Arabidopsis thaliana: one gene and its partner. The protein of the gene in region 2 interacts with the protein of the main gene of each other region in a pairwise test. Each region holds a gene or a part of one and is shown on either strand. Other genes may lie near its edges.

Region 1 (4,399 bases), on a different chromosome or scaffold from region 2:
ATCATCTCATCTGCTTTCTTTCCATCTTCGACTGTCACATCCATTACTTTCACAGTTTTAAGAATCCCCTTGCTTACAAGCTGTTCAGCGAGTGTAAGTGTTCTCTTTGCTGTACATCCGCTCAAAACGTTATCAAACCGCGGCATCACAAGCTCCTTACCACCATTAACAACAAACGCCACATTCATGTTCGGGCCTTCTGCAATAAACCCATCTTTACACACCCAAATACCTGCATAAGCTCCTTTGGCCTCAGCTTCCATTTGTGAGAGTACGTTAGGGAGGTAGTTAACACTTTTCACCGTGGCAAACTCTGGAGGCTTTATGGGGATGGACGAGGTCACTACCTTGACACCTATTGGGTTAATGGCGAAGTTCGTTTTTATAACAATGGCATAGAGAGTTGGTTTGAGACATTGAGATGGAGATAGGAGGAAATCCCCTGGCCCTGCAGAGAGCCAGTATCTTAGAGATCCATCTCTACATCCAGAAACGCTCACGGTTTGAATGAGAATTCTTTTAATAGTTTCTCGATCGAATGGAAGTGGGATCTTAGCCATTGATGCAGATCGCAAGATACGGTCAAGGTGCTGATCCAATTCATAAAGGTATCTGCTTATTCGTAGGACAACAAGCGAAGCTCAGATGATTGAGTAATAAGACAAATTAGAAAAGGGGGCTACTATTTAAAGTGACTAACCCATTGATGATCAGGGCAGTGTCAAAGACTCCATGACCACGGTGAACCATGTGATCATCCAATGGAAGAACCATCGCTGCTGGATCGGTTGTAATTCCATCAACAACACTTGAGTACATGGCCAAGAACTGTTGTCCTCCTCTTGCTAGTTTTAGCCTCTCACCAACCTTTTAAACCAAACATACTTCACTGATACTCAATCAATCAACGCCTCTAAACATAAACGGATAACAAACAAATGTCGCAATCCTTCATTACGGGCTGCATCTATAATTTCATTGACAAAACACAGAAATGTCTGGTGGTTGTGTCAATAAACATCTCTAGCTAACAAATTGTGAACAGTTTCAAGAGTTAAAGATATGATTGATAAGTACAGACATAAAAGAGAAACCATAATTACCTCATAGCTAGATAAAACAGGAACATTCCACGACTGAGAGCTTGAATCTGTGGAGAAACGAATGCAGATTTTTGTCATCAATTCCAGAACACTTATGGAATTTAACGATCAACAAATTGATCTCTTTTTTAGGGTAATAAGTGTACATTACCCTAAAAAGATTATAATAAATGCATCACCAATCACAATCCAGAAGAAAAATCAGAAAAGAGAGAACACAAGGTAGAAATGTCGAACCAGAACACATGAGAATCGTTCTTCTTCGTGTCAACCGACGCGGGAATCGAAAGCCATGTCTTAAAGGACATGGAACTTGAGAGAGAGACCTGAGATTCCAAGTGTTAACTGTAAACTCCAGCGACAAACCTGCCATGGGGTTTGGGACTCAAAAGAATAGAGAGAGAGAGATCATTCGGAAATAGCAACTTGCTTTGCATTATTATTATCTCAGTCGTGAACTGGAAGAAGACGAAAAAATATTTGGGCCTAACTTCACCACAAAAATAAAATAAAGTTATTCGGCCCATAAGCCCAATATGACTTTTCGCATTGTATTTTAATATTCAATCAATCAAAAATAAAAGCCTAAAACAAAACAAACCCTCTCTGTCTTTTAGTGGGTTTTGTACGACGCCTAATCGATGTTAGTATTATATCTGTAGCCAAACAAGCCACCAAAGTGGTATTTTTCTTCTTCCTTCCTTACCTTGTAGGGCTCTGAGCTCGAGTTATAAAAAAGCCAACTTTGATTTCTTTGCCAGTATTTCATCCTTAATCCATTCTTGTGGTCACTTTTTCGTCCTTAACCCATCTAGGTAAGTCGATTTCATTGTTTGTTATTTGAGTCAGTAATTTTTGAAAATCTTTGCTTTTTTTTCTTTTCTTTTGAATATCAAAAGAAGAAAAGATTTGGGGGATAACTAGATCATCTCTTTAGTTAAATTGACTCTTTGAGGTGTGTCAATTGTCACTGATAGTCTGATTAATCTTTTATTGGCATCTTAGAACAGATTTTGATTCTAAAGTCTTGTGAATCGGCAGCGGAAGAAGAGTGAATTGTTCATCCTTATCTTGCCATGGTAAACATTCTACTTCTTTTGTTCACTTTGATGGGTTTGATTGTTCTTAGTATATTCAATCCTTTGCTTATTTGACGGGAAGTAGAGATGTTTTTGGAATGAGAACATCTTTTCCCTTCTTAATTCCAGCTTCCTGATCACATTTATTACTGTTCTTCTTGGAGTAATAAAAGTTGAGATACTTTTGTCTTGCAATAATTTTGCTTTAATCAATCGAACAAGTTAGATTTTGGCCATATTGGTTGTAGTATTGATTAGTCTTGTGTAATATTGTTTGCAGGCTATGTATATTCGTGTGAAGCGCATGAAAACTACTTACTTTATCCAATGTGATCCAACAGAGACTGTTTTGGATGTTAAGCAAAAACTGTTTGCTCTCATTGAGCAACCAGTTAACAATCAGCGTCTGGTCTTAATGTCTACCGAAGAAGTATTAGAGGATTCGAAATCCTTAGCAGATCAGAAGGTATCACACGTTTGACTATCTAATATATTTATCTTTTGAGTCATTGCTCAAGTTTAAAAGAAGAACTTGGTCACATAGCCACTGCCTCCGTTTGCGTGTATTTGAAAGTTATAAGCTTGTCACCATCTTCTTTTTTGGTTGTTCAGGTTGAGAATGATGCAGTTGTGGCTTTGACTTTGAAGAAAGGTTATACCTTAGATCCTCTTATTCTGAAATTTTCAATTCCTTGTTGAAATGTCGTAATGGATCATGCATCTTGGTTAATTACTTATCACACTTCATCTTTCTATATGTTATTTGGTATATGAACCCTTCAAACTCCATTGACTTCAATTGAGCCTGTTATTGTGAATCTTAGTTATTTTGTTATCACTGGATAATCTTTTGGTATGTTTAAGAGTCTTGCCTAACTTTTGTGACCGTGATATAGCTGAATGTGATTCCTAATCTTATTATTCTTTTAGCCTTGTTTCGATTACACAACTGTTGAGGATGCTGTATTGCATTCTGAATCTATACAGCTATGAACGGCATAATGATTGCATTGCATCTCTTTTTTCCATGTGCAGATGATAACGAGTTTGAGGATGTCAACATTGCACAGCCCACCGACTTCTCACTTTCATGAAGAGTTGCTTACTGTATCAAGGAAACTTCAGGAGAAGGTATTGATTCAAAACACAAGGAGGAGTCTATAAACGCCAGAAGTTGTTTCTTTTGCGTCTCTGCTTGTGTTAACGCCTCTTTAGTTTGTTACAGACAATTGTTGTAAGTAAAGATATTGAGATGTGGAAGTTTGATTGCAACTTGCCAGATTAGTAGTTTTTACAGTCTCTTAATATGTTTACAATGAGCTAGAGGTGCAGCTAACACGAGCCGAGGAAGCTCCATTATTACCATTTGACATTGTTCATTGACGGAAAACCCAATGAGGGTGACAAAATAAAGAGACAAAAAAACAAAATGAAAGGACATAACTGTAATCTTAACGGAAAAAAACGTTAAGGCTATAAGTGTGTCTGGTTCGGGAAAAAGAGAGGAAAAAAACCCTAATAAAGAGAAGGGATTGTGTCTCCTTCTCGACTTCTTCTTCTTCTTCTCATTTCTCAATCTCAACTTTTCTCTTCTCTTCTCTTCTTCGCTAACGGCAGGAGAGAGAGAGACCCAGAAATCCGATCCCTCCTCTCCTTGGATTATCGGAGTCAGCGATTCATCGTCGCTGATAAAGCTTCTACCTTTCTCTTCGATTTTTGTTGTGAGATTCGATTCGATCTTAAGGCGGATTAGATCGAGGTATGCAGCAAGGCGATCAAACGGTTCTGAGCTTGAGACCTGGTGGCGGTCGAGGAAACAGACTATTTGGTTCCTCTTCTTCTTCTTCGTCTCTCTCTTTTGGCTCTCTTTCATCTTCGGATCTACCTCTCCTTCGTCCTCATGGTGGTGCTCCTGCTTCCTCTTTTCCCTTCAAGGTACCCTCATTTCTGGGTCCCCTCTCTAAATTTGGATCTAACTCCCTCTTCTTCCTCTGATTTAGAATTTGTTTTATCTCTCTTGTCTTAGCTTGAGCTAAAAATTTATCCTTTTTTACGGGTTTGTCGCAATCAGCAGCCTTTTTGTTTGGAATTATAATCTTTGGTATATTGCTGATTTGATTCTCTCAAATGTCTGAATTGGCTAATATCTTTCTGATTTGCGAGTTTTAATGCTTTGTGTTTGTAATAACTACTGAGCTCATGTTGGATTTTGATAGG
Region 2 (5,525 bases):
AAGTGCGGGTGTTTAGAGGAAGCTATACTTGTTTTTGAGAGACTTCATGAGAAAAATGTGTATACTTGGACCGCGATGATTAATGGATTTGCAGCACACGGATATGCTAGAGATGCATTTGATCTCTTTTATACCATGTTGAGTAGTCATGTTTCACCAAATGAAGTTACTTTCATGGCTGTCTTAAGTGCCTGCGCTCATGGAGGTCTTGTGGAAGAGGGTCGAAGGCTTTTCCTGAGCATGAAGGGACGTTTCAATATGGAGCCAAAAGCGGATCACTATGCGTGTATGGTTGATTTATTTGGAAGAAAAGGTTTGCTAGAAGAGGCGAAAGCTTTGATAGAAAGAATGCCAATGGAGCCAACAAATGTGGTATGGGGAGCTCTGTTCGGCTCTTGTTTGTTACACAAAGACTATGAGTTAGGTAAATACGCAGCCTCCCGTGTGATCAAGCTGCAACCTAGTCATAGTGGGAGATACACTCTCTTGGCTAATTTGTACTCGGAATCCCAAAACTGGGATGAAGTCGCTCGGGTAAGAAAGCAAATGAAAGATCAACAGGTGGTGAAATCGCCAGGATTTAGTTGGATCGAAGTGAAAGGCAAGCTTTGTGAATTCATAGCTTTCGATGATAAGAAACCCCTTGAATCTGATGATTTGTACAAGACTCTCGACACTGTTGGGGTGCAAATGAGATTGCCAGATGAATTGGAAGATGTGACTGCTGAATCATGACTTGGGACGTTTACCATTTTCCTCATAAGCCTTCTCTGAAACTATCCATAACCTTCAAATTATATCCTCCTTTAGTCTTCAACCTCTCGGCTAATTTCTCTGTTATCTCGAGATGCAATACTACAGGCTTCTTCTTCTCTTCTGAATATCTACAAGAAAAACTCTTGTTTGCAACTTTAACATCTGAAGTTGTGTGTTCTTGATTCCCACATCTGGACTTGAGTGCTTCAATGGCGATTTCTGGAGGGATCTTAGGGTTTCTGGCGAGCTGTTTGCACGTCTCCATTGTTAGTTTCTTGTAGTTGAGACATCGACATATCTCTGTTCGATCTTGGGGTGTTAGATTCGGATGAGACTGTACAATAACAAAACAACAGAAATTATAAAGGAATCAATCATACACTGACATAATAATCATTATTTCTACAATTTTTGAAAATGATGAACTATTGTTAATTCCAGTAAAACATGTGAATAGAAAAGTACATGAATAATTGTTAGTCTTTGACATGTATTTCAAGTGTAACTGATAGTACCTTACCAGAATTATTCCTTTTTAAGATATTTTTACTAATAGTATTACAGAGAAAAACAAGAAGAAACATACAGTCAAGACTGTTGTGGCCTTGTGGGTCTGACATGAACCCCACGGCAGTAACAAGACAGAGTGAAGAATCTAAAGGATGACTCCAAATCTTCTTAATCATATATATACATCCATGTGTGTATATTATTAATACACGTTAATCTCAAAAAACTTCAAATCTTTTCTTTGATACATTTTCGGTTTTATATTAAAACTTAGTTTGGCTTTATATCCCAAAGTCTCAAACTTCAAATCTTTTATGTTTATGATGAATAAAAGAATAGTTGACTCTATTTCAACTCTTCATAATAAATATATAAAGCCAAAATGTATTAATAAGCAAATGGTATTGAAATCTGTATGGCACTTGTCATCTTCTATATGTCCAATACATATAGAAAATTAAAATTATTCTCTATTTTGTGTCTCACTTTTGCAGGATAAAAAACATTTTTGGCTCAATCATTTAGTTGGTGAAGAAATTCAAGAAAAACAAAAAAATAATAGTAAAACTTATAACTTAACAAAAAAAAAAAACTGACCTGTAGATAGATGTCAATTGCTCTGTAAACTCCATCAAAGCAATCTCTAGCTGAATCCGGCAAGCTCTCTGCAACACCAAGAAACTTGGGGACTTTCAAATTCTGATCTGGAGATATTTCTCTCAAATACTTATCAATCAATTTCCCAATTTCTTTCATATTCCTCTCTCTTGATTCTTCTTCTTCTTCTTCTCTGTTCTTCACAAATACTTTTAGTAATCTTATCACAAGATCAACATTGTAGAAACCACTTTCTCTGCTTCCTCTTGCAGATATCAGAAGATCATCAAGTGTTGCTTGTTCCAGCATTTCTCCTATTAGGGTTTCTAAACCGATTCTTGACTCTCTACTTAGGCTAAAACTGGATAAAACTCGAAGAATCCAGAAGAGTTTCCTGCAAGAAAACGTACGTGTCCCTGCGGAAATCACTCCTCTAACCGCTGTGTCAGCTAAATCTGAGTACTCGAGCTTGTTCCTCATAAGCTCAGTGGTAGTTCTTGATTTGGTTTGGAGTTTTGTCTTGAGATAATGGAGAAGAAATCTGGTTAGGACTAAGCTTTTTATGTTGGTTTTGTAAGCTCCAATGATCATAACTAGCTTCAATATGATCTTCGGGGAAAGATTTGTCATATCTTCGAACCACCACTCGTTGCTTCTTCCGCAAGCAACAGACCGCGAAATATACCTACCGTCTGATTCTGACGTGTTCTTGGCCATCTCAGGAGAAAGAGAAGAGGCGAAGGAAGAAAGCGAAGAAGAAGAAAAATCGTCTGAATTCTGAGAGATTTTGTTCAAAGCTGCGAAAATGAGTTTATCTACAAGACCATACGAATCTGCTTGGAAGAACACTTGCTCGCAGTTCTTGAGACACGAAACGATGTCGCTCCAAGACCCATAGAACACTTCTTCTAGAAACTTCTCTGTCTGAAGGAAGAGATTAGAGAAACAGAACTTCTCCGACATGCCTAGAAAAACAGAGCAGCAGTACAAAGTCGAGACGTTTGAGACGTCGATTAAGATTTCTCCGTTGTGGTAACAGAACCTTGAAACCAGCTCAAACCCATCTGGTCCTCCTGGAAAATCATTAATCTCGATAGTGATGATTCTCTTTTTCTTGTTTCTCTTCTTTTTGCTCTGTTTAATCATCTTCCTCAAGCTTCCAGAGTACTTTGAAATCACGTTCTAAAACAGAGCACATAGAGAATTAAGAACAGAGCATAATCAAGACTGTGGTTTTTTGAACTGAGTTTTAGGTTTGGTTCTTTACCTGATTGAGGAAGAATGTGTATTGGCCATTGAGATTGATCTTAAGATCGTTGAGAGGAGACATTTCATAGAACAACTAGGAAGCCTACTGAGGTCTTGTGACTTTGTGAGCTTTTTTCTGTTCTTCCTCTGTGTTTTTTTCTTGGATTGAATAGAGCAATAATTATAGTGGGCACATGTAAATGAGTGGATATATATAGTGTTTCATTTGGCTTTATTTACACCTGTAAAATGCACAAAAATATATAAACTGAATCTAAGTTTGAGAAATTAGAGGTAAGTAAGACAAAGTTTATGTTGAGCTAGTATAATAAAACCACATAAATTCCAAAGTCTCTCAAATTCCCATAAATTGATTTCTTTTGTTTGTCTTGTTATGTTGTTTTTAAAAGAATGCTGTAGAATTTTGATTCCTATATCTTTGAGAAGGATTGACTTTTAAGAAATTATGATAATTATTTTTCACTGTCAAGTATTCGGTTCATATTGTACATGAGCTTTTCAAACTCAAACATGAATATCAAAACTTCAAAGTGTTTGAAAGGTCACTAAAAAAATTAATACAGCATTACTAAACACAACATACAGTAAAACCTCTATAAATTAATAATGTTGGGACTACAAAATTTTATTAATTTAGAGAGGTTTTAATTTATCGATAAATTAATATTTATTAATTTATAGAGAGATTTTCCTAATTTAGTAACTTTTCAAAAAAAATTATAGGATTTTTTTCATTATAGAAAATATCTTTCAAGAATCAATTACAACTAAACAATAATATCATGTTTAGAAAACAACACCAAAAGTTTTTGATACAGTAAAATACGAGAACTAAATTTTAAATAAAAATAAATACAAATTTAAGCAAAAAAATATTAGAATTATATTTCAGAAAAATTCCTACATATAATGTATATATATAATTGATATATTTATACAATTATTAATTTATGATATTGATGGGACCATATATTTACATAGAACTTTCAAAAAAGTTATTATCTTATTAATTTATCGATTTGTGTCACTTTTTACACTGGTACAAATTCGGGATTGGAAAAATTTATTAATTTATAAAGGTTATTAATTTATCGACTATTAATTTATAGAAGTTTAACTGTATGTTATAAATATCATCATATACTGTACTTTGGTCACTCTTTCTATTAACTTCTTCTTTTTTTTTAAAAGAATTTGGAATTATGTCGTAGTGCATGTGAATAAGTGGGGTCTAGACGAAAAAGATTTTCCTGTTTTAAGTGCGAGTCCATGACGAGCTTTTTTCATCGTATTTCCCATATCCGACCATGTTTTTTTTTTTTTTTTTCACTGGAAAGATTATGTTTATTAATGATCCACAGAATACAGCCCAACAAAGGTCCACTTAGTTACATTTCTTTAAAGGAAGGATATCTCTTTAACAAAACACGATCGTATAACAAGACACGTGTTGCAAGAGAAGCGATGAAACGTTCCTGTCATCCTGTGCCGTCAAAGACTCCGATCCGGTGAACACAATCAACGTCGAAAAAGGGCAAACATCGATTTTTGTTTTTTTCTCACCGGAAACTGCTAAACAGAGAAGGGAGGATACACAAACAGAGAATTCAATTCCAAAATCATCAATCAAGAGATTTGGCAAAAACAGGTAATGAGGAAAGAAAAATCTGAGTATTCCTCAAATTTGATCGATCGAAGCTCCATAAACATGTAGAAACGGCTACAGGCAATCCCAATATGCTGGAAACAAAACTTCCTTTCATACTTGAGGTAATTCTGCAAATCAAACTTTCTAAAGATACAAATCCGAAAACTTAATCTTAGGCTATTATGACCTAAAATTAATCTCCAATTGAAATCTTTAGAAATTATTGAAAGAAAAACTGAAAAAGAAACTAAAGCAATCGGTAAGAACAACCGATCGAACGGCGGAGGAAGGATAAAAGCCGGCCAAAACCGCTTGTAAAAGCCGGATTTGCCAGAAGAGGACCGGCCATCTTTGCTAACAAAGCCAAAATTAATCTCCTTCATATCTTTTAGAGAGAGGAACTGTTGAATTCTGTCGACCGGATTATTCTGGTAAACTGCCGTCCCAAGTTTTGCCGACCATGTTTATGACAATGATATGACATTAATATATATCCCCACAAATAAGCTTAATTTTTTCTTATCCTATTATAGTTTCAGAAACTATATTGTCCACAAAAATCTTCTTGTTCTATTTTTTTTATTCCCATTAAAATCATACAGCGATGAAATGATTGGCGATGGAAAAAAAAACAAAGGGACAACTAAAAATAATACTACAAAAGACAAAATAATACTTAATACACGTCTAAATTAGCAATTGACGTCGCTAACCATGTTTTGCCATAATTACCAATTTTCGAAAC

What was found.
Region 1: the proteins of AT1G50280 (region 2) and AT5G57860 interact in a two-hybrid assay, tested with the Arabidopsis thaliana proteins (one large-scale study listed by BioGRID).

Annotation. Positions count from the first base shown.
Region 1 is NC_003076.8:23,435,812-23,440,210, forward strand, and holds AT5G57860 (Ubiquitin-like superfamily protein), read left to right. Parts: upstream 1-1,742; 5' UTR 1,743-1,918; intron 1,919-2,108; exon of another isoform or gene 2,109-2,144; 5' UTR 2,145-2,179; coding exon 2,180-2,182; intron 2,183-2,462; coding exon 2,463-2,648; coding exon of another isoform or gene 2,649-2,663; exon of another isoform or gene 2,664-2,794; coding exon 2,795-2,834; intron 2,835-3,217; coding exon 3,218-3,276; 3' UTR 3,277-3,592; downstream 3,593-4,399. Other genes in the region: ADCL (D-aminoacid aminotransferase-like PLP-dependent enzymes superfamily protein), read right to left, coding at 1-612, 701-867, 1,104-1,150, 1,341-1,476; eIFiso4G1 (MIF4G domain-containing protein / MA3 domain-containing protein), read left to right, coding at 3,944-4,117.
Region 2 is NC_003070.9:18,623,100-18,628,624, forward strand, and holds AT1G50280 (Phototropic-responsive NPH3 family protein), read right to left. Parts: upstream 3,343-5,525; 5' UTR 3,194-3,342; coding exon 3,131-3,193; exon of another isoform or gene 3,046-3,130; coding exon 1,864-3,045; intron 1,152-1,863; exon of another isoform or gene 1,091-1,151; coding exon 758-1,090; 3' UTR 736-757; downstream 1-735. Other genes in the region: AT1G50270 (Pentatricopeptide repeat (PPR) superfamily protein), read left to right, coding at 1-735; AT1G50290 (uncharacterized protein), read right to left, coding at 4,759-5,163. UniProt on the Arabidopsis thaliana protein: May act as a substrate-specific adapter of an E3 ubiquitin-protein ligase complex (CUL3-RBX1-BTB) which mediates the ubiquitination and subsequent proteasomal degradation of target proteins.